7 linked regions of the Macaca mulatta genome follow. The protein of the gene in region 7 purifies or fractionates together with the protein of the main gene of each other region. This does not show direct contact. Links are inferred from orthologs where the notes say so. Each region holds a gene or a part of one and is shown on either strand. Other genes may lie near its edges. The genes, in order: XPO1, RUNX1, ATXN3, WDR5, STAT3, CCND1 and HDAC3.

Region 1 (3,500 bases), on a different chromosome or scaffold from region 7:
AAACATGGTATTCATTGGTAAAACTCTTTGCTCATTATTTGCATTTGAAACAATTTTTTTTTCGTAGTTTATCTTACTCATCTGGATTATGTAGATACAGAAAGAATAATGACAGAGAAGCTTCACAATCAAGTGAATGGTACAGAGTGGTCGTGGAAAAATTTGAATACATTGTGTTGGGCAATAGGCTCCATTAGTGGAGCAATGCATGAAGAGGATGAAAAACGATTTCTTGTTACTGTTATAAAGGTATGCAAGGGATAGGTATGAATTAGAATTGCTAAATAAGTATTATGTTGTTACAATAAATGATATAAATCTGTCTTATTTACAGGATCTATTAGGATTATGTGAACAGAAAAGAGGCAAAGATAATAAAGCTATTATTGCATCAAATATCATGTACATAGTAGGTCAATATCCACGATTTTTGAGAGCTCACTGGAAATTTTTGAAGACTGTAGTTAACAAGCTGTTCGAATTCATGCATGGTAAATCTCTTTCTTTACTATATTTTGTTTTTATTTTTATTGAACAAAATAAATGAATGTTTTTGTCTTGTTAGAGACCCATGATGGAGTCCAGGACATGGCTTGTGATACTTTCATTAAAATAGCCCAAAAATGCCGTAGGCATTTCGTTCAGGTTCAGGTTGGAGAAGTGATGCCATTTATTGATGAAATTTTGAACAACATTAACACTATTATTTGTGATCTTCAGCCTCAACAGGTATGTTAAGCACTGAGCATATGTTATTTTTAGAAAGTAACACCTGTATCAATCTGTATGTATCAGTGGAAATAGGAAGGCAACTGTTGGATCCAATAGAAGTGTTTCTGATTAAACTTTCTTTTTTCCTTGAGAACAGGGTATTACTCTGTTGCCCAGGCTCAAGTGCAATGGCACGATTACGACTCACTGCAGCCTTGAACTCCCAGGCTCAGGTGATCTTCCCACCTCAGCCTCGTGGGTAGCTGGGACTACAGGCGTGCACCGCCTTCACACCCAGCTAGCCTTTTTCTCCCCCCTTGGTAGAGATGGGGTTTTGCCAAGGCTTGTCTTGAACTCCTAGCTTCAAGCGATACGCTAGCCTCAGCCTCCCAAAATTATTTTATATGTGTGAGCCACGATGCCCGGCCTGATTAAATTTTCATAGTGAGACAGATTCTTGTTTTTGTTTTTGGGGGGGTGTGTGTGTGTGTGTGTGTGACGGAGTCTCCCTCTATCATAGAGTCCAGGCTGGAGTGCAGTGGCACAATCTCTGCTCACTGCAGCCTCCTGGGGTTAAGTGATTCTCTTCCTCAGTGGCTGAGATTAACAGGTGCGTGCCACCACGCCCAGTTGACTTTTGCCTTTTTAGTAGAGACGGGGTTTCTCCATGTTGGTCAGGCTGGTCTCAAACTCCTGACCTTGTGATCCGCCCGCCTCGGCCTCCCAAAGTATTGGGATTACAGGCATGAGCCACCACCATGCCTGGTTTGGGTTTTGTTTGTTTGTTTGTTTGTTTTGTTTTGAGATGGAGTCTACCTCTGTCACCCAGGTTGGAGTGCTGTGGTATAATCTCGGCTCACTGCAACCTCTGCCTCCCAGGTTCAAGCAATTCAAGCCTCCCAAGTAACTGGAATTATAGGCACTTGCCACCATGCCTGGCTAATTTCTTTGTATTTGTAGAAGAGATGGTGTTTCACCACGTTGGTCAGGCTGGTCTGCAACTCCTGAACTCAAGTGATTGGCCTGCCTCAGCTTCTCAAAGTACTGGGATTACAGGAGTGATCCCCACCGCACCTGGGCCAAAATCAGTTTCAAGATATTTGAGTTGCTTGTGTGTGAATTGCTTGTGTGTGGTTTTCCTTATTAGGGTGTATAAGAACATAAAAGTTAAAATGTCTGCTTTTTAAAATAGGTTCATACGTTTTATGAAGCTGTGGGGTACATGATTGGTGCACAAACAGATCAAACAGTACAAGAACACTTGATAGAAAAGTACATGTTACTCCCTAATCAAGTGTGGGATAGTATAATCCAGCAGGCAACCAAAGTAAGTATTCTACTTTTTCTTAAAGTTTTCATGGGATTTAAGAAGACTGTGTTCCTTACAAATATATTGAATTCAAGCCTTTAAACATGTATGTGTGATCCGTAAGTGCTTTTATGTGTGGCTTTGTACATTTTATTATCTGGGCCAGGCGTGGTGGCTCACGCCTGTAATCCTAGCACTTTGGGAGGCTGAGGCGGGCGGATCACCTGAGGCCAGAAGTTCGAGATCAGCCTAGCCAGCATGGCAAAACCCCATCTCTACTAAAAATACAGAAATTAGCTGGGCTTGGTGGCACATGCCTGTAATCCCAGCTACTCAGGAGGCTGAGGCAGGAGAATCACTTGAACCCAAGAGGCAGAGGTTGCAGTGAGCCGAGATCGAGCCTCTGTACTCTAGCCTAGTCGACAGAGCAAGACTCCATCTCAAAAAAAAACCTGAAAATCTGGGCCGGGCGCGGTGGCTCACGCCTGTAATCCCAGCACTTTGGGAGGCCGAGTCAGGCAGATCACAAGGTCAGGAGCTCCAGACCATCCTGGCTAACACAGTGAAACTCCGTCTCTACTAAAAGTACAAAAATTAGCTGGGCGTGGCACCGGGCACCTGTAAGTCCCAGCTGTGCTCAGGAGGCTGAGACAGAATGGCGTGAACCCAGGAGGCAGAGCTTGCAGTGAGCCAAGATCACGCCACTGCACTCCAGCCTGGGCGAATAAACGAGACTCCGTCTCAAAAAATATTTTACTTCATTCTTAGGTAGATATGGACAAAAAGGCTTTTGTGTTCGTTTTTACCATTTGGGATTATAAATATGATTTAGGGTAAGGGAAGTGTAATGGCTTTTGTTTCAGTAATTATGTGGATAATTTTTTTTTTTTTTTTGAGACGGAGTTTCACTCTTGGTGCCCAGGCTGTAGTGCAATGGCATGATCTCAGCTCGCTGCAGCCTCTGCCTCCCAGGCTCAAGGAATTCTCCTGCCTCAGCCTTCCAAGTAGCTGGGATTACAAACAAGCGCCACCATGCCTGGCTGATTTTGTATTTTTAGTAGAGAGAGGGTTTCTACATGTTGGTCAGGCTGGTCTTGAACTCCCGACCTCAGGGTGATGTGCCTGACTCAGCCTCCCAAAGTGCTGGGATTATAGGTGTGAGCCACCTCACCTGGCCATTATGTGGATAATTCTTACATGATAAATGGAATTTGCTTTTTTTTCTCCAAGAATGTGGATATACTGAAAGATCCTGAAACAGTCAAGCAGCTTGGTAGCATTTTGAAGACAAATGTGAGAGCCTGCAAAGCTGTTGGACACCCCTTTGTAATTCAGCTTGGAAGAATTTATTTAGATATGCTTAATGTATACAAGTGCCTCAGTGAAAATATTTCTGCAGCTATCCAAGCTAATGGTAGGTGATTCTGATTTCTTATACGATGCAGTATAAACACTTCTCTTCTACTGCCTCAAGTCAAAC
Region 2 (4,288 bases), on a different chromosome or scaffold from region 7:
GACCGCATTGACCACTGCGAGTGGCCCAGCTATGGCAACAGGCTGAGAACTCTGGGGGAGAGCCATTTGTTGGCAGGGATGGTGGTTCTTCTAGCATCAGGCTCTAAGACGATGACCAAACGGTACCAAAAGAAATGATATTTTGCCACCTCTCTGGCTCCGGTGAATGATGTGGACAGCTAACCTGGACAATTTAAACCTTTCTGTTGATGGATCACTTGGATGAAATTCACCAGGAAATTGCCAAGATTTCACCCGGCCCTCTGATAGCAAATCTCAATATTATATTATCAAATTAGAGATTCTAAAGAACCCTGAGTTCCTTTCACTGAAAGGAAGGAGTGGAAAAACCTTTCCAGATTAGCCCTTTTGAGTCTTGGTGTGAGCTCAGGCCCTCCCTACACTGCCCCCGTGAAAAATAACCGACCTTCGTTCCTAATCAAGGGCAGGTCAGCGGAGTGTCCACTGGGCACAGGAGCCCTGGGCTTGTCCGGGAGACAGCGGCACTCCTGCTATTTCCTGATGTCTGCACGGGTCACCGTGTCCCTCACCATCTTTGCTGTTGGCCAGTAAGGAGAGCCCAGGGGCCAGCACTGCACACTGAAATCCAACCTATTGCTCAATGGAATGCTTAAAAATTTCCTGAATCTGCCTTCCTGAGTTGATAAAATAGGAAACAATACACGTTCCGAGGGGGTATTGAAAGTGGAGTAAAGTCAGGAAGATCTTTCTTTCTGTTATTCAACAAATATTGCTTCCTCTGCTTGTTAGCAGCCCAGAGGAAATGCAGCCAGGGAGCCGTTTGCAGCTCTTTACCAGTGGCCGGTGTGTCTGTGTTACCAACTGAACGACGCTGCAAGACTAGTGACTAATGCATGTCTGCATGATTCAACTTCACTAAAATTCCCTCTGCTGCCAGTAAAGAAGCACTTGAAAACTCTTTAATTTGAAACTTGAGCTGGTTAATGACTTGCTTTCTTCTCTTTCCCTTTAACTTCTCTCTTGCCATCCCCAACACACACACACACACACACACACACACACACACACACACACACACACACCCTCTCTCTCTCTCTCTCTCTCTCGTCAAGTTTTTTAATATCAGGGACCCGGAAACATAGAGCCCTGTGCATTCACAATAGCATTTGCTGTGATAAAGTGACTGGCAAGCCCTCTGCATTCCCCTGCTCACTTAGCTGTATGAATAAATAATGAGTCACAGATACTATTTGGGTGCTCAAGAGAGTCTGTAGCCAGAAAATTAATTATTCTCCTATCCCAGCCCACTCCATCTCGGCTTTGCCAAACCATCAAGAAACACTTTGCAGGCACTGGTCAGAGTGCGTGCCCCGACGCACACGGCAATGCCTTTGTGACATTTTATGTTATTATTTTTGTTTGTTTAAGCACAGCCCTCTTTTACCACGAAAGATACACAAGACACACAGGCACACACACACTCACACACTCACAGCTCAACCGCAGCTTTGTGCATTTCAAGAGGCTGGTTTCAAAAATGGAGACAGGTTTTCCACCCTGGCTGTTCCTATTCAGAAGCCTGTAATCTAACGACTTCAGCTGTGAGAATGCTTAACTTGGGAACCTTCTTCATTGCCGTTTTCCAGAGAGACCTCGGTATGCCACAGTCTGCTTCCTTTCTCTCTGGAAAGATGCTGGCCGTCTGTTTGCATTGAGGCGACAAGGAAAAACACAGCACAGCCCCGTGCTGGTGATTTTCACCTAAGCGAGTCTGTCAGGCTCTTGTACTCTCTGCCTTGTAGAGACAGCTGCCTTGCCACTTTGGCCCTGAAGTCCCCAGGCTGGTGCAAGGCTATCTGAGAGCCTCCACCTCCTGCCCCACACTGGCACCAGCCCTCCTGGCTGGCTCTGTGCATGTGCCTGCTAAGCCCCAGGGCAGGCTGCATTCTGGGCCACACAGCATGCCGAGTTCAGGATAACTCAGACACAGTCATTCTGGGCAAGGGACAGCAAAATAAAACCCAGGGAGCTTCGTGCAAGCTTCGTAATCTCTAAGCCTTTAAACAAGACCAGCACAACTTACTCACACTTGACAAAGTTCTCACGCACCGACTGAACACTCCAACAGCATAACTAAGTATTTATTAAAACATTTCTGAAGAGCTTCCATCTGATGAGTAAGTAATCCAATAGCCTTGTAATCATATGCCTCAGTTTGAATTCCTCCCACAAACCAGACAGGGACCCGGCAGGCACCGAGGTATCTCTGCACCGAGGTGAAGCAGGCTGCCATTTCGTTACAGGCAAAGCTGAGCAAAAGGAGGTATTACAAGACCAGCATGTACTCACCTCTCATGAAGCACTGTGGGTATGAAGGAAATGACTCAAATATGCTGTCTGAAGCCATCGCTTCCTCCTGAAAATGCACCCTCTTCTGAAGGCGGGGGACTCAATGATTTCTTTTACCTTCGGAGCGAAAACCAAGACAGGTCACTGTTTCACCCTCACCCTTCTAGCCCTACATTTCTCTTTCTTTTCCCCCCTGCTGGATACCTCTGGGACTCCCCAAGCCCTATTAAAAAATGCACCTTTGTAAAAACAAATATTCAAATTGTTAAAGATTAAAAAAAAAAAAAAAAAAGCCAGCGCCGCCTTGGCTGTGGGTTGGTGATGCTTACCACGCTGCGAAACCCTGTGGTTTGCATTCAGTGTGATTCGTCCTGCCTGCTGACCACTGTGCTGGGTTCAGACTTCTGACACTGCCAGGCTACCCAACTTGTGGTTCTGTGGTTGTTTATGAGGCCCAAAGAAGTTTTCACACAACCCAAATTACAAATTTAACTGTTCCCCTTTCCACAGCCCATCTCAATTGGTTCTTGCCGATCACGTGACTTCAGTGATGTCAATTTTTTTTTTTTCCTTTCTGAGCAATGCCCTTCCTTCCCTCCACCTGCCCTCCCCCAGGCTGTGCAAGAAAATAGCCGAGTAGACTTTGCAAGAGGGGGGATGTAGAAAAAAGTGACTCAGTCACTTATTATATCTCAATGGTCTTTGCTGATTTAGTACAACTCGGCTCCTGTTGTTATTTGTGGTTTTTGGAACTACTGATTATTTTGATAAAGATTTCATTGCTGCTTATTCAATAGTAATTCAACGCTGGCATCAAGCCGCTGCTCCGACAGGATGTGGATCCCATCATTTAAAATGCTAGGCATCAGCTCCGGGAGAGTTAAGTGCTTGGTAAAGTCTATCATGGCATAAGTGAAACTATAAAAGGGAAAAATAAATAAAAAGAAATATTTTTGTGAGAGTCTGACCCCTACAACGGGCTGGCAACTCGCAGGTATTTTAAAGCCCGGGAAAGGAAAAGAATTTTACTTTTGAAATTAAAAGACTATTTTAATGACACTAAAATTATGGGGTTTTATTCCCCCTAAATGGACAACTTTAGTATGTATCTCTTTCAGTAAAGAGATAAAATCATAGTACACTCTTAACACACACACACACACACACACACACACACACACACACGCAAATTAGGAAGCTAAGGGAAAACAAAGCAAAGAGAATTTCTGTATTTGGGACAAAGCAGTGGTTATCTGCAGCTGTTTATTTGTGTTGTCACTTGGGAAGGCTCCCTGCATTGCCTTTCTCTAGTTCAATTCAAATGAATAGGCTAATTTACACCTGTAGGTAAAACTACACTTTGTGCACATGAGGATCTCACAATAGAAGGGGAACCAGGAGAAGAGGCTTCTCCTGGGGCTGACTAATGAATATTATATAGCGCGTCCTCTACCTTAGAAAGGCATGCCTGTTTGAAGATGCTAAAAATGGGATAATTTTGTAAGTGGGCAAACCACTGTGGCCACACATAGTTCATTTTCAGGCCCCACTGGCTTTACTTGCTGACAAATAAAACGTCATTTTGTTTTGTAGTTCCAAGATGAAGAAAGACTTACTTTCCTAATTAACTACCTTATTCATTCTGCTCTGCTCTGCCTACCTCCGCCATAGCACTCTGTGCACTTGAAATTTTGACACACAGGGTCAAGAGAACCTGTGTGATGATGGGTTGTAAATGCCAGTCCTGGATTCTAAGCTGCAGTAGCCAGCACAGGACTTCAGAAAAGCCGAACTCCCACAACACTCCCTCGGTTTTCCTTCATCCACTTAATCTCACACACACAAAGACACACAATGATAGCAGCTTCCATGGCAGAAGCCTTTCAAAAGGAACAGGCACAATTTTTACTTACTCCTGTTTTGACTAAAGCAGGAATTGAAACTCAACAGACCGCTT
Region 3 (4,162 bases), on a different chromosome or scaffold from region 7:
GCCTATACACATGCTGATAATTCAGAGGGACTCTTTTTTTTTTCTTTTCTTTTCTTTTTTTAGACAGAGTCTCGCTTTGTTGCCCAGGCTGGAGTGAAGTGGTGCAGTCTCAGCTCACTGCAACCTCTGCCTCTTGGGTTCAAGCTATTCTCCTGCCTCAGCCTCCTGAGTACCTGGGATTACAGGCACCTGCCACCACACCTGGCTAATTTTTTGTATTTTTAGTAGAGACGTGGTTTCACCATGTTGGCCAGGCTGGTCTCAAACTCCTGACCTTGTGATCCACCCACCTGGGCCTCCCAAAGCGCTGGTGTGAGCCACCGCACCCGGACTAAGAGGGACTTCTTTCGGGTAAGTAGATTTTCGCTAGGCTAGCACCCAGCTTTTATTGATCCCATGGTTCAGTAGAAATGCGTCCCAACTAGGTAACAATCAATATTGTTAAAAATCTTGTCTGATTCTCAGGAAGTAGTGTGGAACATGTTTAAGGCCTTCCATGTTGAAATCTGGTCCCACACCAAAGCCTTTGAAAATTAATAACAAAAATATGGCCGGGTGCAGTGGCTCACGCCTGTAATCCCAGCACTTTGGGAGGCCGAGGCGAGTGGATCGCCTGAGGTCAGGAGTTGGAGACCAGCCTGGCCAACAGGGTGAAACCCTGTCTCTACTAAAAATACAAAAATTAGCTGGGCGTGGTGGTGGGCACCTGTAATCTCAGCTACTAGCGAGACTGAGGCAGGAGAATAGCTTGAACAGGGAGGCAGAGGTTGCAGTGAGCCAGGATCGCGCCATTGCACTCTAGCCTGGGTGACAAGAGCAAAACTCGATCTCAAAAAAAAAATGTTTTTAAGAAAGTACATGTGTATTTTTCACACACTTTACTCAGCCAAGCAACTAAATCTCTATTGTCTATGATTTATAAATCATGTCAATCAAGTCAAAAAATCAGTGACAACTATATGACTGAGGCCTTCCTCCCCCACTGTAAATCTGCCTATTTCAAAAGTTTCTGAGATGTTTTCTACAATGAAAAGCATTGTACTTAACAATTTGTTCCAGGCACAGTGGCTCACGCCTGTAATCACAGCACTTCGAGAGGCTGAGGTGGGAGAATCACCTGAGTCCAGGAGTTCTAGACCAGCCTGGGCAACACAGCGAGACCCCTGTCTCTCCAAAAACATTAGCTGGCCCTGGCGATATACACCTGTAGTCCCAGCTACTCTGGAGGCGGAGGAGGGAGGATCGCTTGTGCCTAGGGAGTCAAGGCTGCAGTGAGCCATGATCTCTCCACTGCACACCTGCCTGGGTGACAGAATGAGATGCCATCTTTAAAATAAAAATTAAAAAAAAGATTTATACTACAGATTTACATCTGGTAAATGTATTCTTTTGTCTTTGCTTTATTTGTTGTGTGTGTGTGAATTTTATTTTATTTTATTTTATTTTATTTTATTTTTTTTGAGACGGAGTCTCGCTCTGTCGCCCAAGCTGGAGTGCAGTGGCGCTATCCTGGCTCACTGCAAGCTCCGCCTCCCGGGTTCACGCCATTCTCCTGCCTCAGCCTCCCGAGTAGCTGGAACTACAGGCGCCCGCCACCGCGCCCGGCTCATTTTTTGTATTTTTTTTAGTAGAGACGGGGTTTCACCATGGTCTCGATCTCCTGACCTTGTGATCCGCCCGCCTCGGCCTCCCAAAGTGCTGGGATTACAGGCGTGAGCCACCGCGTCCGGCCGTGTGTGTGAATTTTAAATGTCTGGGATAAACGATCATTTATAAGCATTTAATAAAACAAAAACCCTTTGCTCCTCCTATTAAATAATAGCCTTACCAGCAACTCTTTCCAAACATGATACTATTACGAAACAAGATATCATGTGCCAAAGTTGTCCTGGGGAAGGCTTCACTCACATACAAATGGATGGATAATAGCATGTGAGAAACGAGGAGTTTCTCCACATGTCACAAACAGTATCTTCAAGTGCATGGTCACTGAAGAGTTAAAGTGACAGCAGGCTAGGCAGACCACAACAAAATCATTCCAGTCCACTCCTAATACCTAAAAACAAAGCTGGCTGCCTGCTCCGGAAAGATGAGAGTACCAAAAGAAACCAAACCCAAACATCCCGTAATAAAAACTCGTGACGACTTCCCTGTTTAGGGGCACAACGGGTTTCCTACTTCACTTCCTAAGTGTCAGGCCCTACAGTGGGCGAGCCAAGGTCTCCTCCCTCGGGAGGCTCGCGGACCTGGTGCAGGGGAAAAAACATGAACAAGACCTCAAAGATCTAAATGTAGGGAAGACTCCAATATAGAATTGAGCAGTCTGGAGAAAGAAAAGTTAATTCTGCCAGGAGTAGGGTAGGAGGGGTCGAGGGAGGTGTCCCAGAGGTGACTGTAGCTAGACCCTAGGGAGAGGGAAGGATTGGGGAGGGGTGAAGGAATCCTCCGAAAAGCTATGGAAAGTGACTTAGAAAGGAAGAAGCAAATCCACTGGGCGCCACCGCGCTCCCGTGTCCCGAGACGCCCCCGGCCCCGCCCATACTCCCTCCCGGCTCCCAGGGCGGGGGCCGCGGGGGAAGTAGGAGCGTAGGTGATGCTCCCCTCCCCGAGCCGAAGAGGCGGGGGGTTGCGGCGTCGCCCCTCGCCCGGCGAGATCGGCATGGGGGCGACTCGGACCCCACCCAGCCCTCCGGGAGGCTGTGATGCCGCGCTCCACGCCCGCCACCGCGCGGCAGACAGCTCCCCACCGCACGCGGACACTCACTTTCTCGTGGAAGATGGACTCCATGTTTATTTGTCTGGAGCCAACGGCCCCCACACCGAACCACCCCCTCCAGCTCCGCCCCCTGTCCCTCCCCTCCGCCCACCCCGCCCCGCCCTGGTCCCCCGCCCACGCGCCGCACGCAGGCCAATCACCCGCGAGGATGCGAGTCACGTGAAGCGAAGAGCGAGTGAACGCCGGGGACACGTGACCTTGGTAGCGCGTCCTCCTAGTTTCTGTTAGAGGGCCTTCTGGGGGATGCTACATCGCCACCTGCTGTCTGGAGGATCTTCTCCGCTTCCCACCCATTTCTATGGGTTCTTAGGTTTCTGGGGGGAGGTTTGGACCACTCACCTGGGTTCGATACTCTTTTTGTTTTCCACTTTGTACTTTCTACTGTGTTCATATAACTATTTACTTTCTTTCTCCTCCTCCTCCACTGAAAATTTAGTAAGAAAAAGCCATCATTACATTCTCCCAAAACCTAGCACTTGTATAAAAATGATAGCTAGGCCGGACGCGGTACCTCATGCCTGTAATCCCAGCACTTTGGGAGGCCGAGGCGGGCGAATCAACTGAGGTCGAGAGTTTGAGATCAGCCTGACCAACATGGAGAAACCCCGTCTCTACTAAAAATGCAAAATTAGCTGGGCGTGGTGGCGCATACCTCTAATCCCAGGTACTTGGGAGGCTGAGGCAGGAGAATAGCTTGAACCCGGGAGGCGGAGGTTGCAGTGAGCCGAGATGGTGCCATTGCACTCTAGCCTGGACAACAAAAGCGAAACTCCGTCCCCAAGCCCCCAAAAAAGGAAAAAAGTGATAGTTAATATTTATATAAGGCTTTCTATGAGCTAGGCCCTTTTCTAAATGCTTTGCATATATTATCAAATTTAATACAGCAAACTTTGATGTAGGTGTTGATGCTATTCATACACATGAGGAAACCGAGGCACGGAGAGGTTAAGAACAGCACAATGTCCAAGGTCAGATGGTAAGTTGCCTTGCCAGGATTCAAATCCAAGTGACTTGTTACCACTGTAGGTGTTCGGACCCTTTAGAGGGAACTTAGAAGTCTCATAAATTGTGTGGGAGACGGGGAGGTAGCAGCGGTTTGATGAAGCTTGAATGGAAGGATAGGTGCAGATCTTGCACCTTGAAACCAGATTAAGGTGTACTTTTTTTTTTTTTTTTTTTTTTTTTTGAGATGGACCTCTCTCTGTCCCCCAGGCTGGAGTGCAGTGGCACAGTCTCCCCGCTTACTGCAACCTCCACTTCCTGAGTTCAAGTGATTCTCTTGCCTCAGCCTCCCAAGCAGCTGGGATTACTGGCACGCATCACGACATCCAACTATTTTTGTGTGCTTAGTAGAGAAGAGTTTGTACCATGTTGGCCAGGCTGGTC
Region 4 (3,500 bases), on a different chromosome or scaffold from region 7:
AACGGAGCTCGCCGTGAAGTGGGACACGCTACACCCACCTAAAGTCCCACAGCCACACACACCTTCCGGACCAGAATACCCGGCAGAACAGGAAGAAACAGGGTTCAAGACAGGAGCCCTGGGTCCGAGTCGGCAGCACAGTGACCAGCTCCATGCCTTGGGCAAGAGCTCTTAGCAGCGGCTCCTCAATGGGGCCAGCGGAGGGCTGAGGAGGGAAGGGGAAGACGACGGCACCCTACGGGCAGACCACGCTTCACCTACAGGAACTGTCCTCACATGAACAGGCAGCCGTGGCTGCGGGAGCACAGGCCCTCACCTGTGTGGCCTTGTAGTTTCTGTACAATCTCTTTCGTCTGAAGGTTCCAGATGTAAACAAGGTTATCCTCTGAGCCAGACACAATCCACTAAGTAACAACAAGCAGGGAAAACAGGGCAAGGAAAAGCAGGTCAGCGCTCGTGTATGTGGAAGGGGCAGAATCTCCAGTTATGCCCCGCCCCACGCCCACCCCGCTGGTGGCTGCCTGGCTGAACTCAACCAAAAAGCCGTGCCTGCCCTCCAGCCAGGCCTGAGGCTTCCTCCCCCAGTGCGGACAGCCCCGCCTGCTCTACCCCAGCACGGGCCTCGCTCAAAGAAGCCAGGCACCTGCTTGCCCCAGGAGAGGCTTCCAGGCTGGAAGATGCTTCTCAGGTCCCCCTTTCCTGAGTCTGTGTGTCATACACATGCTGCCCAAGAGTCACCCCGGTCTAAGCAGCATCGAGACCAGTGTGGGTGGGCGGGAAAACACTCCCCTCCCTGCTGGGGCGGGTGGACAGCCTCGGAGCCAGCGCACCCACCCAGGGACACCCTGAGCCGCGGAGCTCCACCTGTGGGGTCCCAACCCCCTCGGAAGGCATCGGCCAAGCACTGCCAGCAGAGCCCGGCAACAGGCTGCCTGCCTCCATTAAGGAGCTGGACCTAGAAACAGACGGGACAAGGTGTCCCCGGTGCCTGGCGCAGCGCACTTTGGTTGAAATGGAAATTCATTGTGTGGGCACAGAAAAGCGTCTGAGTGTAAAGCAACCTGTAACAGGGGTGACCTCTCGGGAGAGTAAGCTGGGAACGCGTGAGACGCTTCAAGGTCATAAGACTCACCTTCCCGCCAGTAACAGAGAAATTAGCAAATATGCAGTATTTCTCATTCTTGTGGCCAGTGTACGTCTTCAGGCACTGAAACAGGAGGGGACAGGCTGGTCACAGAGTCATGGATCCCCTTGATTTTGTATAATTCTACGTTCTAAGCAAGGCGTTTCACCACTGACTACACTTACTTCTGAAAAGTACAAGTACAAAACCCACACAATCGAAGATTTAACTTGCAGACTGCCACCCTACGAATACCCAGGTTTTTCAGGAATCTGCACCAAACCCGTGGAAATGGTTCTCTGAGCTCCTCTCCTTTGTCATCAGCGGGGCCACTCTGTCCCCACCAGAGGCCATGACCCAGGGACGGCGCACAACGGGGGCCCGAGCCTGCGGGAGCTCACCTTGCCCTTGCTGTAGTCCCAGAGCTTCAGAGTGCTGCAAGACAGAGAGAGGCGTGAGGCGGCACGGCCGGAGGCGTCCTGTCCCCACGCCCAACTCTGCAGCCACTACGTCACAGCCACCATCAGCGCCAGGTGCAAAAGCCAGCGGGGATGCAACCCCCTTCCCCGTCAGGGTGAGGGCCCCTCAGGCTCAGAGTCCAGTGACTTGGCGTTGGGGAGCCACAGTGTGAGAGCCCCAAGTATTTGCAGTTCCAAGAGAGACTTTAACAGGAAGCTGACGGGTGTTATCGTCCCTGACTCAGGTCATCCTCAAAAGGGTGAGGAAGTCCTCTTGGTTCTGGAAACATCCAGAACAGGTTTTACCACCCAATCACACAGCCCTCAGAGGATCGGGGCCCAGACTTGGACCCACAGGCTGAGGCTGCATGCGTGGGAAAGCTGGAGCTTAGAGAACAGTCCGGGAGGGCAGCGGCTTTGTGAGAGGTAAAACCAAGGTCCTCAGAGGTCAGAACCAGAAAGGGCCTTGGAGGACCCCGGACCACCTACTCCTTCATGCGGGATGGCTAGGCCTGCCCCGGCCACAGTCACTCAACCAGAAAACCGACCCTAAATCCTCCTTTAGTCGGACCTGAGGTTCAGCCTCGGGAAGGGATGGGCAGGGGCCTGCCCTCTGACCTAACAGGCCACTGCCCAGAAGCCAAAGCTCCAGCAGGAGCCTGGGTCCCGTGCCAAGCCCACGACATGCTCTCCGAAGGCTCACGCTGGCGAGCAGGCGTCTCTGGCTGGGGAGGCCACACGCCCGCCCCCACGGTCCCACGCAGTACTCACTTGTCCAGCGTGGCGGCCAGGATGTATTTGCCGTTCGGGGAGAACTTCACGAAAGACACTGGGGGGTTGTCGTCATCTGCAATAAAAACAGACAGGTGACACGGGGCGGGCGCTGACAGCTGGGCAGGGACAGGAGGTGGGACCCGCTCCCCGTCCCCCACGTGCGACATCTGAGTGAGGTCGGCCACCACCACCAGTGCCAGCACCACCACCCCCTGGTGCCCCGAAGGGTGGCCTAGCCACGCACACCAGCCGTGAGCAGGTTCTTGACACCTCAAGCCCATGGCCCCGGGGGCCCCTTGACACCAGGACTTAAGGAATACAGGCCTCCTCGGGCACCGGGCAGTGGCCATTCTCAGGAATCACCTGCCTCACAGGGGAGGGATGAGGTTGGCGAATGCCCAACTCAACGGAGGGACAACTCCACCAGCAGCAAAAAGAGCTGGGGAAGTCACCTTGGAAATCCTCCTTTTTTTTTTTTTTTTTTTTTTTTTGAGACAGAGTCTTGCTCTGTCGCCCAGGCTGGGGTGCAGTGGCCGGATCTCAGCTCGCTGCAAGCTCCGCCTCCCGGGTTTAGACCATTCTCCTGCCTCAGCCTCCCAAGTAGCTGGGACTACAGGAGCCCACCACCTCGCCCGGCTAGTTTTTTTTTTGTTTTTTTTTTTTTTTTTGAGACGGAGTCTCGCTCTGTCGCCCAGCCCAGGCTGGAGTGCAGTGGCGCGATCTCGGCTCACTGCAAGCTCCGCCTCCCGGGTTCACGCCATTCTCCTGCCTCAGCCTCCCGAGTAGCTGGGACTACAGGCGCCCACAACCGCGCCCGGCTAATTTTTTGTAATTTTTAGTAGAGACGGGGTTTCACCGTGGTCTCGATCTCCTGACCTTGTGATCCGCCCGCCTCGGCCTCCCAAAGTGCTGGGATTACAGGCGTGAGCCACCGCGCCCGGCCAGTTTTTTGTATTTTTTAGTAGAGATGGGGTTTCACCGTGTTAGCCAGGATGGTCTCGATCTCCTGACCTCGTGATCCGCCCATCTCGGCCTCCCAAAGTGCTGGGATTACAGGCTTGAGCCACCACGCCCGGCCGGAAATTCTCCTTTTAAGAATTTATCGACGCAAGGGGCATTCATGCCCACACAACCCATCTGCTTGT
Region 5 (4,019 bases), on a different chromosome or scaffold from region 7:
AGAGGCAGGGTGGTTAAAGCAACTTTCTAGAGACAGAAATGACCACTGATCAAGCCACAATGCACTCTGGTTTAAATGACATTTAGGTCATGACTGTCCTTAATCTAAAACAAACCACGATTAGTATTTCTTTTCATTAGTAAATAGCTGAATTCTGATGGTAAATTATGCTGACCAAAAACAGTTCCTCACTTCCCAAGTTAGACATAGCAATTAGGTAGAAAAATAATCTAAGCAAGCTCCATTTGTATTTCTTTTTTCACGTGTTTATTGAATATTTACCTCCCATAAAGTCTTTCAGCCTGTTGGTGGTATTTTACTGTTCAGATATATGTTAGAATTTCACTGATACTGGGTGCGGTGGCTCACACCTGTAATCCTAGCACTTCGGGAGACAGAGGCGGGCGGCTCACGAGGTCAGGAGTTCAAGACCAGCCTAGCCAATATGGTAAAACCCTGGTCTCTACTAAAAATACAAAAATTAGCCGGGCGTGGTGGTGCGCAACTGTAGTCCCAGCTACTTGGGAGGCTGAGGCAGGAGAATCACTTGAACCCAGGAGGCAGAGGTTACAGTGAGCCAAGATTGCGCCACTGCACTCCAGCCTAGGCAACAGAGCAAGACTCCGTCTCAAAAAAAAAAAAAAAAAGAATTTCACTGATACTTTTCACAAAATATACAGAAGGCGGCACAAATTCCACCACTATGGCACTCTGCCGCCTTGGGCAAGTGTCTTGATCCTTTGGCCTCAATTTTCTTATCTACAATATTAGAGGAATTGTTATGTGAACTACCTACCTCACAAGTCCTTTGTGGGTCAATTCATAACTGTGCTGTGGGTATTTCTTTTTCTTTCCTTTCTTCCTCTTTTCCTTTCCTTTCTTTCTTAGAGACGGGTTCTCATTATGTTGCCTAGACTAGACTCTAGACCCAATTCCTGGCCTCTCACCATGTTGCCCAGACCAGACTCAACTCCTGGACTCAAGGAATCCTCCGGCCTCAGCTTTCAAGTAACTGGGATCAGAGGTGTGCACCACCATGCCTGGCACTGTGGATATTTTTAAGTGATTATTCTTCCCAAATGAACTACATAAAAAACAAAAGATTCATGAATTTACTAATGGTTCTTTGTGATGGATGTGCTAATACAGAGACTAAAATCAAGGCTCCAACCTCTAAAACATTTTTTTTTTTTAATTCCAGACTTGTTTCCCCATCCCACTGTGCAAACTGAACAAAAACTGGGCTAGCACTCCCGTCTGGAACATGTAATAAGGAAATAAATGTGCTGACTCAGAGAACACAGACATATTTAATATAAAATAAAATAGAAAACTGGCTGAATCAAGTCATAGCACAGTCTAAATCCACATATAAAAGATTGAGATGATTTTCTGCTTTGCTTTATTCAAGCCCAATGCTTTATCAGCACAGCCAGCCAAAAATTTACAACCCATGCACAGACTACGTAAACCTTTAGTTGCACATACAGTAAGACCAGCAGGTACACACTATACACATTTTTAACAAAAAACAATGACTAACCACTGATTTTGTCACCACACTTACAACGACCTGATATGGCACAGGGTGATGTGTATCAAACATGGAAATACCAACTTGGGCGACGGTTTGAATCTTGTTAACTTCAGTGCAACCACACCCCCCTAAATGCAGGTAAACTTAGCACACATGGTTTTGTCAAGGCCAGCCTGTCTTTGTTTCCCTCTCCTCTGCATTTACCCAAGATCTTGGCTCTGAGACACAGAACTCCCACTCTCGATTGGTTCATTCCGTCCTATGCAATTAAGCAACACCACAATCCAGTAAACGCAATGGCTCAATTATTTATCTTCTGGCCGACTTTACCAGGTATTTGGAAAAGAACATTGCCAAGAGATTTATTTCTCTCTCTAGAGCTGGCTTGACGGGTTGACGGGGATTTTGTCTTTTTTTCCCCTCTTTTTTACATGGCGGGGGCGTGAGGGGAGCATAGTTTAACCTAGAAAAAGATGGGAGGGAATTTAGAAAGAGTACCGGTCTGTCAATTTCCCTACAGGAAACTTGATTCTTATGCAATAAAGCCTACCCGCGACCAGCCAGCCCGTGAGGCTGCAGGGGACAGACACACCTATTCCTGCCTCCAGAAGGGCACAGCTGGCTCCTGAAGAAGCGGGAACAGGGCAAGCGGAGGAAGTGGCTCAGAGGGAGCCGCCGGCCAGGCGGGGAGGAGGCGCTTTCCGACCCCCACCCGCGCCGGTGATCCCCGCCGGCGTGACAGTCGCTCCGGCGGCCGGAACGTCCCCAGGGCTCCAGGGAGCAGGAAATCGGGGGACTGTCCCTCACTCCTGCCGCCGCAGCCGAGTGCGCCCTCGCCCCACGGTGCCCCCTCGGGCGCGTTCTCACTGTTTCTCCGAAGAACGAAACTTCCCTCCAGCGCCCCGAGTCCCTTCCGAGGCCCGCTCCTGTCATCCCGAAGAGTCTTCCCTCAGGGCGACCCTCCGCGTCTCCTCATCTCTCCCCGCCCCACTGCAGCGTCCATCACAAAATCCCCAAGGTCCCAGAGGCCCCCAACCGCGGCGGCGCCCCCAGGTCCCCAGGCCTCCCCGACGGCCCCACCCTGCACCCCCTTCACCTGTTTCTCCAGCAGAGGCCGAGAGGCCGGGGCTGCGCGTGCGCCGGGGGCGGGCGACGGGGCTCCCTCAGGCCGGAGGGCTTATCCGAGCCGAGGGGGAGAGACAGCGCCGAGCCGGGGTGCCTGTCCAGGATCCGGTTGGGGCTTGTTCCCTCGGCTGCTACGTCGGAACCCCCGGCTCCCCCTCCCGGTCTACGCCGCCGCAGCTCCGGAAACCGCTGAATTACAGCCCCTTCAGCCAATCCCCGCCCAGCCCCAGCCTGGCCGGGGCACGCCGTCATGCATAATTCATGAACGGCCATTTCGCTCGGCCACCCAGAGGTCCCAGTGCGTGTGCGGTACCGACAAAGCCCCGCCCACTGACCAATGAAGAGAGCAGCTAGGAGAAAGGGCGGAGCCAAGAGAAGACTGATACGCCCCTGTGCTGGCTGTTCCGACAGTTCGGTGCTCCTCCCTCCGCCACAGCGAGGGAAGAGCCGAGGACTTGGGCACAGAAGCCCGGGGGGAGGGAGGGAAGATGACCGGAATGTCCTGCTGAAAACTCAGCTGAGTTCCTGGCAGTGCGTGACGTCAAGGCACTTTAAATGCCCCTGATACAGCTCCCTCCTGTCCGCTCTCCCTTTTCCCGGCCCTTGGCACCACGTGGTGGCGAGATTGAGAGCCTCTTACCACGTGGGAATCAGCCAGTTAGACAGTCCCCAGGTATCTCCAGATCCTCTGGGGACCCAACACCTGAATTGGGTTCTGGGGACAACAAAAAGAACATGAGTGACTCCGCCTGCTTTGAACTTCAGTTTCTGCGTGAACAGGGACACACACACCCGGAAACATGACGTGGAAATAGAGTAAATACTAGAGTGCGTGGGGAGAAATAGTAGATTTAACCCCGTCCTCCGTTCCATCACTTCAAGCATCAAACTCCGAGCAGCTAGCCCATTGGCCGGTACAGGCGAATGCAGAAGACGGTGTATACGAAAGTTGATACGTGTAGGGCTTGACATTTTTATGCGTCTGAATTGAAATACATGAAATGTTCCGCCTTTTTCGTTTCCACCTTGCCTACTTGGTATGCAAGTTTTGCTGAATTGAAGCCAGTGGTTCATAGGAAATGTAGACATTTTGCCTTTCATAATAGAGGATGAATTTTGCATAATGGAGTGATTTCTGTGTATGTGCTGATACTATCAGGGTTTTTAATTTTTATTTTTTTAGGGTCTTTAAAAATATGTTATTAATATTTGTGTTTGTTTAATACGAACCGGTATAAAGACAAAAATCTATAAAGGACCCATTATCTCACTGCTCAGATAACCCCTGACATTTTTTTTTTCAATGAAACTAATACATGTTCCTGTTTAGAAAATGCAGACCGTTCAGAAAGGTAAA
Region 6 (3,500 bases), on a different chromosome or scaffold from region 7:
CTTCCTCCTCCTCGGCGGCCTTGGGGTCCATGTTCTGCTGGGCCTGGCGCAGGCTTGACTCCAGCAGGGCTTCGATCTGCTCCTGGCAGGCCCGGAGGCAGTCCTGAGAGAGACGGAGTGGGGAGAGGTGGGAAGAGGGGGTCCTTAGAAGGGGCCTGCGGTGAGGGCCCCCTCCCAGGTGCCACGACCTGGAAGGCCTCTATAAGAGCAAGACTAAGTAAAAAACTGTCCCTTGACCCATGCCGCCGCCTCTGAACCTGAGCGAGACGTGGGAGCTGCCATCACCTGTCAGTGAGACACTCAGGACCCAACGCTTCCACCTCCCACCTGGCCTCCGGAGCCACAAGACAGCAGATGCTTGCCCGCCCACCCTGCACCCGCTCTGCCCATCCCCAAGCTCAACAGCTCCTTGACCTTCTGTTCCCACTGGCCCTGCCAGCTCCCTGGGGAATTCAGTGCCATCTGATCTGGACAGACAGGCCCTTTCAGTCCTGCCTTTTCAGACAGCCTCTCCGTGTGGCAGCCCTCCAGGTGAACCTGGCCTTCCATGATCAACGGCTGTCAAAGTCTCAGGCCGTGCATGACTGAGGATGAATGCTGGGTGCCCAGGGGGACCTGGACCCTTGATCCCTCACCTCCATCCTCTCCCGCTCAGGCCTGTGCCCCGGGGCCACCCATCAGCCTGGCACAGCATGCATCCACCCGCTGCGGCCACAGAGGTGCTCGCCCTCGGGTGGAGTGCAACAGAAGCTCCTGGAAGTCCTGCACCTCCGCCCTCCGGGTCTCCAGACCCCCTTGGCGGCGGCCGCACCACACCGTCAGTGGGAAAGAGCAGCCATGGAATCCGGAACCCCGCGCCCAGCCGGGGGCCTCTCCTCAGCTCCAGCACGGGCAAGTCCCAGGCAGCCCGAAGCGGCTATCTCCTGTGCGGGGGCTTCTGGATAGAGAACTGGCTTCATGTGTTGGGGCTGTGTGTGTCCCAACTGCCAGGAAGCCACAGTAGGGCTTCAAGCCGAGTCTCTAGGCAGCCCAGGAAACAGACTTTCCACAAGGAGCAGGGCTGGGCCACAGCCCCAACAGGTGCCACTGAACTTCCAACCAGATGGGGGTGGACAAAGGCAGGGCATGACAGGCGATGACCTAGGCCAGAAGGACTTTTCAGTGGACCCCTGGGGTCGTAACATTTTAGCGTCCTGTGACTATAGGGAGGGCTTTCCTCTCCCGCCTTTCAGATAAATTCTCATCATGGCAAATGAAGCCGGCTGGGCTGGCAGCACAAACAGTCCCACTGTACAGATGGGGAAACTGAGGCCAGAGACCTGGGGTGAGATCCAAGACTCCTGATGTTCAACCTAAAACACCAGCCACCCTCAGTTCCCAGCTCCAGGGGCCTGGCAGCTCCACCCACGGACTCTTCACCTGCCGTCCGCCCCCCTCACCATGACCCGCTCCAGGGTCACGCATGCAGCTGGACTCCATTTCCCTCATTCCTCTGGCCCCACAGCTGCCTGCAAGGCTACCCTGGTGGACAGAGCTGTTCTCCCACAGCCAGAAGCTCCAAGGAGGCAGCACGCTCCTCCACGAAAAGTCACTGGTGTGTGGCCCTGTGCACCCGATTCACACAGATGGACATTCCACCCACCAAAGAAAATTCTAGAACACGCCCTAGAAAGTGCAGGGGGCCTCTGCTGTGAACGGTTTTTCTGAGTCTGGGCTCAGCTAATCAGGCAGAGTGGACTCCGCCTCAGGTAACTTCACCCCGTGTGTCAGCTGTGAGCGTGTGCCTCCCATCTAGTTCAGATGGTCTCTACTCAAATAAGGGCCAGTGCCCAACTTCCCACAACTGCCCAAAGACAGCAACATCCCGGGCAGATACCCCTGGCGGGGAGGCGGTTTCCACTCAGGGCGTGGAGTTGGAAATGAAAGTGCAGATGCGAGTTTCATTTTGACGGAGGGGCTTTCCCTTTGCTGGGCTTCTGGAGGCCTTGACGGCGTTTCTGAACCATTTTCCTGAGAGAACTGTGGGCTGCTGGCCTCCACCCTACAGCGGGTGAGGACACCTTACCACCCCCACAGGATAACACGGGGCAGGGTGCAAGGGAGGCCACGGCCGAGAGCACAGAAGGGAGGGGAGGGCGCCCCTGCCACCTCCAGTATCCCATGGCAAAAATGCTTCTTCCTCTTCCGAGACACACATGGGCTGGGCAGCCGCTAGCTGCCTAGAGGCACCGCTAGGCAGGGGACAGGCAGGTGGACGCTAGATAGCATCTGCTGAGACCCGTGCGGAGCCCCCGGGAGGCTCGAGGGCAGACCCCCAAGAGGCGGCCCAGGCCAGAGCCACAACGGGCCTCGCAGGCCCAGCCGGCCCCAAGCTGGGGTCAGGCGGTCACTCCCTCACACACCGCAGGGCCGGCGGCTGACCCGGCCACCTCTCTGGTCTAATTTGGTAAATGCCACAAACCCTTTTGATTGTCATTTTAATTCTTTCTTTAAGAAAAGAATCGGGAATAAAACAATGGCATTTTGAAGAAGAAAGACACAGTCATGCCAGGGTTTAACGGCAGCAGCCTCTCAAAGAGCCGTAAACAAGGCCGTCTCTATCCGCCCGTTGTCCGGCGTCTCGGACCTCACAGGAGCCCTTTTCAAGCATCTATTTATTGGCCACGCACATTGTGGCCCAAACAAAGCTCGCCTGGGCCTAACCCCACACACTATCACCACACGGACCATTGGCTGGGGCCGCCTGGGGCCGTCGTCCTAGACGCTTCGCCCAGAAACACTCTACAGCTCCTGGAAGCCCCAGGGGACATGAGCAGCCTGTGAGGACCTCCCGACCGGTCAGTGAGTTCTAGGAGCAGTGGAAGAAGCTGGTGCCCTGTCAGTCTGTGGCTTGGGGTCCGAGGGGCCCAGCCCCAGCCCCAACCCCAACCTTGTCACCCTTGCACCAGCCTTGGCATTTCCGTGGCACTAGGCGTCTCCTGCCTGTGAGCCCCGGCGAGGCTCCCTGGGACACTGCCCTCACTCACCGGGTCACACTTGATCACTCTGGAGAGGAAGCGTGTGAGGCGGTAGTAGGACAGGAAGTTGTTGGGGCTCCCCAGGTTCAGGCCTTGCACTGCGGCCACCACGCTCCCTGCTGCCACCATGGAGGGTGGATTGGAAATGAACTTCACATCTGCAGCAGGAGAGAGGGAAGGGGGCTGTGAGCAGGGGACCCGTGATCTGGGCATCCCCACGTGCTGGCTCTGAGCAGGCGGCCCGGCCTGGTGGGTACCACTCTCCAGGCCCTCCCCAGCCTCCCGCCATCCCTGGGTACTAGGAGAGCAAGAGCCCGGCCCAGGGACCCTCCAGGAATGTCAGCCCCACTGTTGACTCAAACATAACCAAGCAGAGAGAAAGCCACGGGAAGACAGGACAGGTGACAAGGACATCACTACCCTCTCATCCTTTCAGCATCTTGAGCCTTGTGAATGTTACCACTTATTCACAAAAACAAAGTT
Region 7 (4,223 bases):
GGCTGTGGTTCCGACATGAGGCCCTGGGGGGCGAGCGCGGGCCAGGGCGCCTCCTGGGTTTAGGAGGCTGCAGCTGGGAATGGGGGAGGGGTAGGAATGCAGTTCTCAGGATCTGAAACAAGCACGTCTAAGACGTTCGGCTAAGGTCCGGCTCCACCCCCTACCCAACCAGGGAGCTGTCCGGGCCAGGGGTGCTGTTTCGTCAATACGGCCCAAGGCAAGAGGTCAGCGGCTACGCAAGCTCTCTACCACGACCCTGGTCCCGCTTCCCCGACGCCCCGAGCGTTCCCCTTTCCAGCTCGTTCGCGCTTCCGTCCCTCCCAAGGACACTGCAGCACGAGATGGGACGGAATTCTTAGGCGGCGGGAGCAGAAATCGTGCCTGAGTCAGCGCCCGCACCTCCTCCGCGCCGGCCTGAGCCAGGCCTCTGCAGCCCCCTCCTCTCAGTACTCCCGCACCCCTCTCCCTTTTTGGTTTCTCCCACCCTGACCACCTGGCCCACCCGGTACCGGTGATTTGGTTCTGGTTCCGGCTTCTGCTCAGGTTCCGGCTCCAGGGGCGTCCTAGTGCGGCTCGGGGCCCCCGACGCCCTTCCGGCGCTCATCCCTTGATTCCTCCCCTCCCCCTTCGCCGCCTCACCGGCCCCGGGCTGTGGCTGCGGATACCCGCGCCGTGGCAGGCGGGGGGAGGGAAGGACAGAGAAGGATGCGGGCTGACTGAGAGCGGCGGCAGGCTCTGGGCAACTCCGGCCCTGGGTCAGGGAGATCGCCTCCGCAGCCGCCCTGGCTTCCCAAATGCCTTCGCCCGTCGCGGGCCCAGGACCAGGAGGCGGAGCGCAGGTGTGCGGGGCGGAGAGCGTGAGCTCTGCGCGCGCGTGACTGCGCCTGGCCCCCCCGGGGCAATGTGTGGCGCCGAGTCTAGGTCCGGGTAGGGGACAGGAGGTCCGGCGTGGGTGTTGTCCACTGGTCTATCCGCTACGCCTGGCGCAGCTCCTGCCCTCAGATGCCCCGACCAAGCGGAGAGTCAGGAATCTTCCCCGAGGGCTGGGGGAAGCCGGCTTTCCGCACCTTTGAGGGACGGCGTGGCGGGATCTTCGGAGCTTCCTAGAGAAGTGACCACGGCCTGCGCCCGGTTTGGGGCAAGCGGCTGGATGGGATGGCTCAGCTTCCCGAGGATCTGACCCCCGGCCGGAGAGAAATGGCCCTTGCATCCTAGGAGCGATGCTACCAGTTCCCCGCCCAACCCGGGACGCTCAAAGCCGCAGCTCCCGGGAGAGCGGAGCCAGGCGAGGGGCGGAGCTCCCCCGGGGGCGTGGCCTGGGTGTGGCTGGAGGCGGGACCGCAACGCCCAGTTCCGCAGAGGCAGGCTACGTGCTTGCGCAGCACGCACGGCTGGGGCGGGGTTGGCGGCGGGTGGCGGGTGGCGGGCCGCGGGCGGCGGGCGGCGGGCGGCGGAGGCGCGGGGCCTGCTCCCGCCGGCACCATGGCCAAGACCGTGGCCTATTTCTACGACCCCGACGTGGGCAACTTCCACTACGGTGAGGAAACAGGGCTATGCATGAGGGTTGGGACGCGGAGGTTTTGAGGCGGGGGTTGCAACTCCAGGGGTGAGAGCTGACGAACTCTTTTCTCCCCACCCCCAGGAGCTGGACACCCTATGAAGCCCCATCGCTTGGCATTGACCCATAGCCTGGTCCTGCATTACGGTCTCTATAAGAAGATGATCGTGAGTTTCGCCGCCTCGGCCGGGGGTTGGGGGGGGGTGGGGCGAGCTGTGGCGGAAGGGATAGGTGGGCTGGACTGAGTGCATCAAGTGCGACCAGCCCCTAGAGTAGCGGGGAGCTGGATAGAAGACACCGGAGTATCTTGAAAGTGCCGGGTGTTGGAGGTGGCGTCCTCTGCTTAATGGAAAGTACTTTCTCAGCTCAGGTCGGCCACCCTCTGACTGTAGGCACCCTAGCCCTTGGCCTAGGGTTAAGGTGATGTGGGGGCTGGTTTGAAGACAGAAGGAGTGTTCCTCCTCTGCATTTTAGAGTGTGGATAGGGCCTTGGCCTCAGGAATTAGGTTTAGGGGAGCGGATATCACTGTATCAGGGTGTAAGGTTTACCCTCAGTTCCCACTCCTCTTTTGCCACCTTTTTTTTACCTCCAAGGAGCTGGGGCTCCAGGGTGGGACGATACTACCGTGTTTCTAAATGTGTATGTGCGTGTGGAAGAGAGGAGATATCTTAGGTATTCCTTTTTCAGCCCGGAATACCTCTACATGGTTCTACTTAATCGCTATCCAGTTTTTCATCTCCCAGACATACACATGCTGTCTTCCCAGCTTGGAATTTATGGCTGTGATATGGCATAGTAACAGTTAAGCCAGGCCAGGTGTAGTGGCCCATGCCTGTAATCCCAGCACTTTGGGAGGCTGAAATGGGAGGATCGCTTGAGGCCAGGAGTTGGAGACCAGCTTGGGCCACAGTGGGACCCACATCTCTACAAAAATAAAAAATAAAAAAAGTAGCCATGTGTGGTGGGTGTGCCTGTAGTCCCAACTACTTGGGAGGCTGAGGCGAGAGGATGGCTTGGGCCCAGGAGTTTGAAGTTACAGTGAGCTATGATCAGCAGCCTGAGTTGACAGGGAGGACCTTGTCTCAAAAGAAAAAATAAGACAAAACAGCTAAGCCCAGGCTTTATGTGTTGCTAGGGAAGCTAGTGAACAATATGAATGAATGTTCATTGCTTGTGCCCAGGCACAGACAAATAGATTGGTCATAGAAAAGACTGAGGTGATGTTAGTGCAGGAATCTTTATCCCTTGAGATTGTTTGCCTATATGTACCTGTGTGCATTTTCTGGGAGAAAATTTGTCCAGTTTTCAAAGAGATGTGACACATCCCCCCGACCTTCCAAAGATAGTAAACTTCTGATTTTAATTAGAAAGTTGACATATATGCCATATATTTGACTCCAGAAAGAAGAATCTGGAGGAAAGAGGACAGAATCAGAGCTTGGGGGAGGAGATGAGCGTGGAGAGAACTGGGAATAGGAGATCCAAGGAACAGGGCAGGTGGATCAGGGCTCAAAGTTGAGAAGGTACAATAGGCTGAGCTGGAGGTGGAAAGGAAAAGAAATGGTCTTCAGGGGGCTCATTCGTAATAACTCACCTGGTTAATTGGAGTCTCTCTATTGACTTAAGGATTGTGGGATGAGGGGAATGCTATATTTGGCTTCATATAGTCTCCAGGGCTGGGTTCAGTATGGGTGGTCTGAGCCTGTGGAGTGGGGCTGACCCTGGCTAGGTTCATCTTGTGTCTCCATCCCGAGGTCTTCAAGCCATACCAGGCCTCCCAGCATGACATGTGCCGCTTCCACTCCGAGGACTACATTGACTTCCTGCAGAGAGTCAGCCCCACCAATATGCAAGGCTTCACCAAGAGTCTTAATGCCTTCAACGTAGGCGATGACTGGTGAGGGAGGACTGGGACTTTTGATGTCTAATAGTTTAATGCCAAGCCCTTCAGTGAGGTCTTTTGGCAGCAGTGGGAAGATCTCAAGGGGGGCCTACTTGTCAATGAATCATAATTCACTTACTTGTTTATTCAATAAATATTTACTGGTCACTTGTTCTAGGCCAGGCCCTGTGCTAAGTGCTGGGAATGCAGTGATGAACAAAACCAAAATTTTAATACTGTATTTTTGCTAAGTCTTATGAAGAGGAGGTATATGACAGATTATGAGAGTATATATGTGGAGAATTGTTTAGCTTGGTGTAGTGGCTGGTCGGTGGGGCCTTCCTAGAGGAAGTAAAGATTGAGCTGAGATCTGAAAAAAGAGTAGAAGTAGTGAGATGAAAGGTGGTTGAAGGGTGAGGGGAGGAGTATAGCAGGCAGTAGGGACAAGTGCTAAGGGTCCGTGGTAGGATTGAGTATGACTCATTTGAGGAACAGAAAAAAGGCCAAGTGCAGAATATGAAGAGGAGGTGAACTGAATTGAGGCTAAAGAAATAGGGCCTTTTTAAAGTAAACAGCTCTATTATGAATTAGGGTTTTTACTCCTAGAGTAGAGGGAAGCTATCAAAGTTTTTTAAAAAGTCCTGATCATAAGAGGGCTATGGGCAGTTAAGAAAACAAAAAAACAACAAAGGAGTGGTTTGATATCGTTAGGTTTACATTGAGCTGGTATCATCCATAGAAGAGTCAGGATTAGACCCTGTGGGGAAAGGAGTGGACAACAA

What was found.
Region 1: the proteins of HDAC3 (region 7) and XPO1 purify together in Homo sapiens (affinity purification with western blotting; 3 studies listed by BioGRID, with this or other methods). This does not show direct contact. The link is inferred for Macaca mulatta from reciprocal best matches to the Homo sapiens genes HDAC3 and XPO1.
Region 2: the proteins of HDAC3 (region 7) and RUNX1 purify together in Homo sapiens (affinity purification with western blotting; 3 studies listed by BioGRID). This does not show direct contact. The link is inferred for Macaca mulatta from reciprocal best matches to the Homo sapiens genes HDAC3 and RUNX1.
Region 3: the proteins of HDAC3 (region 7) and ATXN3 purify together in Homo sapiens (affinity purification with western blotting; 3 studies listed by BioGRID). This does not show direct contact. The link is inferred for Macaca mulatta from reciprocal best matches to the Homo sapiens genes HDAC3 and ATXN3.
Region 4: the proteins of HDAC3 (region 7) and WDR5 purify together in Homo sapiens (affinity purification with western blotting; 3 studies listed by BioGRID). This does not show direct contact. The link is inferred for Macaca mulatta from reciprocal best matches to the Homo sapiens genes HDAC3 and WDR5.
Region 5: the proteins of HDAC3 (region 7) and STAT3 purify together in Homo sapiens (affinity purification with western blotting; 4 studies listed by BioGRID). This does not show direct contact. The link is inferred for Macaca mulatta from reciprocal best matches to the Homo sapiens genes HDAC3 and STAT3.
Region 6: the proteins of HDAC3 (region 7) and CCND1 purify together in Homo sapiens (affinity purification with western blotting; 5 studies listed by BioGRID and IntAct, with this or other methods). This does not show direct contact. The link is inferred for Macaca mulatta from reciprocal best matches to the Homo sapiens genes HDAC3 and CCND1.

What each region holds. Positions count from the first base shown.
Region 1 is NC_133418.1:63,242,455-63,245,954, forward strand, and holds part of XPO1 (exportin-1), read left to right. Parts: intron 1-67; coding exon 68-249; intron 250-334; coding exon 335-491; intron 492-565; coding exon 566-729; intron 730-1,903; coding exon 1,904-2,038; intron 2,039-3,250; coding exon 3,251-3,434; intron 3,435-3,500. UniProt on the Homo sapiens protein: Mediates the nuclear export of cellular proteins (cargos) bearing a leucine-rich nuclear export signal (NES) and of RNAs.
Region 2 is NC_133408.1:12,359,897-12,364,184, reverse strand, and holds the start of RUNX1 (runt-related transcription factor 1), read right to left. Parts: upstream 2,801-4,288; 5' UTR 2,661-2,800; intron 2,449-2,660; 5' UTR 2,390-2,448; coding exon 2,332-2,389; intron 1-2,331.
Region 3 is NC_133412.1:165,351,482-165,355,643, forward strand, and holds the start of ATXN3 (ataxin-3), read right to left. Parts: upstream 2,801-4,162; 5' UTR 2,789-2,800; coding exon 2,765-2,788; intron 1-2,764. UniProt on the Homo sapiens protein: Deubiquitinating enzyme involved in protein homeostasis maintenance, transcription, cytoskeleton regulation, myogenesis and degradation of misfolded chaperone substrates.
Region 4 is NC_133420.1:8,356,143-8,359,642, forward strand, and holds part of WDR5 (WD repeat-containing protein 5), read right to left. Parts: intron 2,429-3,500; coding exon 2,353-2,428; intron 1,559-2,352; coding exon 1,525-1,558; intron 1,208-1,524; coding exon 1,133-1,207; intron 405-1,132; coding exon 317-404; intron 1-316.
Region 5 is NC_133421.1:66,739,584-66,743,602, forward strand, and holds the start of STAT3 (signal transducer and activator of transcription 3), read right to left. Parts: upstream 2,801-4,019; 5' UTR 2,634-2,800; exon of another isoform or gene 1-2,633. UniProt on the Homo sapiens protein: Signal transducer and transcription activator that mediates cellular responses to interleukins, KITLG/SCF, LEP and other growth factors. Once activated, recruits coactivators, such as NCOA1 or MED1, to the promoter region of the target gene.
Region 6 is NC_133419.1:5,007,858-5,011,357, forward strand, and holds part of CCND1 (G1/S-specific cyclin-D1), read right to left. Parts: intron 3,201-3,500; coding exon of another isoform or gene 3,176-3,200; coding exon 3,027-3,175; intron 104-3,026; coding exon 1-103. UniProt on the Homo sapiens protein: Regulatory component of the cyclin D1-CDK4 (DC) complex that phosphorylates and inhibits members of the retinoblastoma (RB) protein family including RB1 and regulates the cell-cycle during G(1)/S transition.
Region 7 is NC_133411.1:150,478,537-150,482,759, reverse strand, and holds the start of HDAC3 (histone deacetylase 3), read left to right. Parts: upstream 1-1,423; 5' UTR 1,424-1,482; coding exon 1,483-1,537; intron 1,538-1,642; coding exon 1,643-1,725; intron 1,726-3,313; coding exon 3,314-3,456; intron 3,457-4,223. Other genes in the region: RELL2 (RELT-like protein 2), read right to left, coding at 1-17. UniProt on the Homo sapiens protein: Histone deacetylase that catalyzes the deacetylation of lysine residues on the N-terminal part of the core histones (H2A, H2B, H3 and H4), and some other non-histone substrates.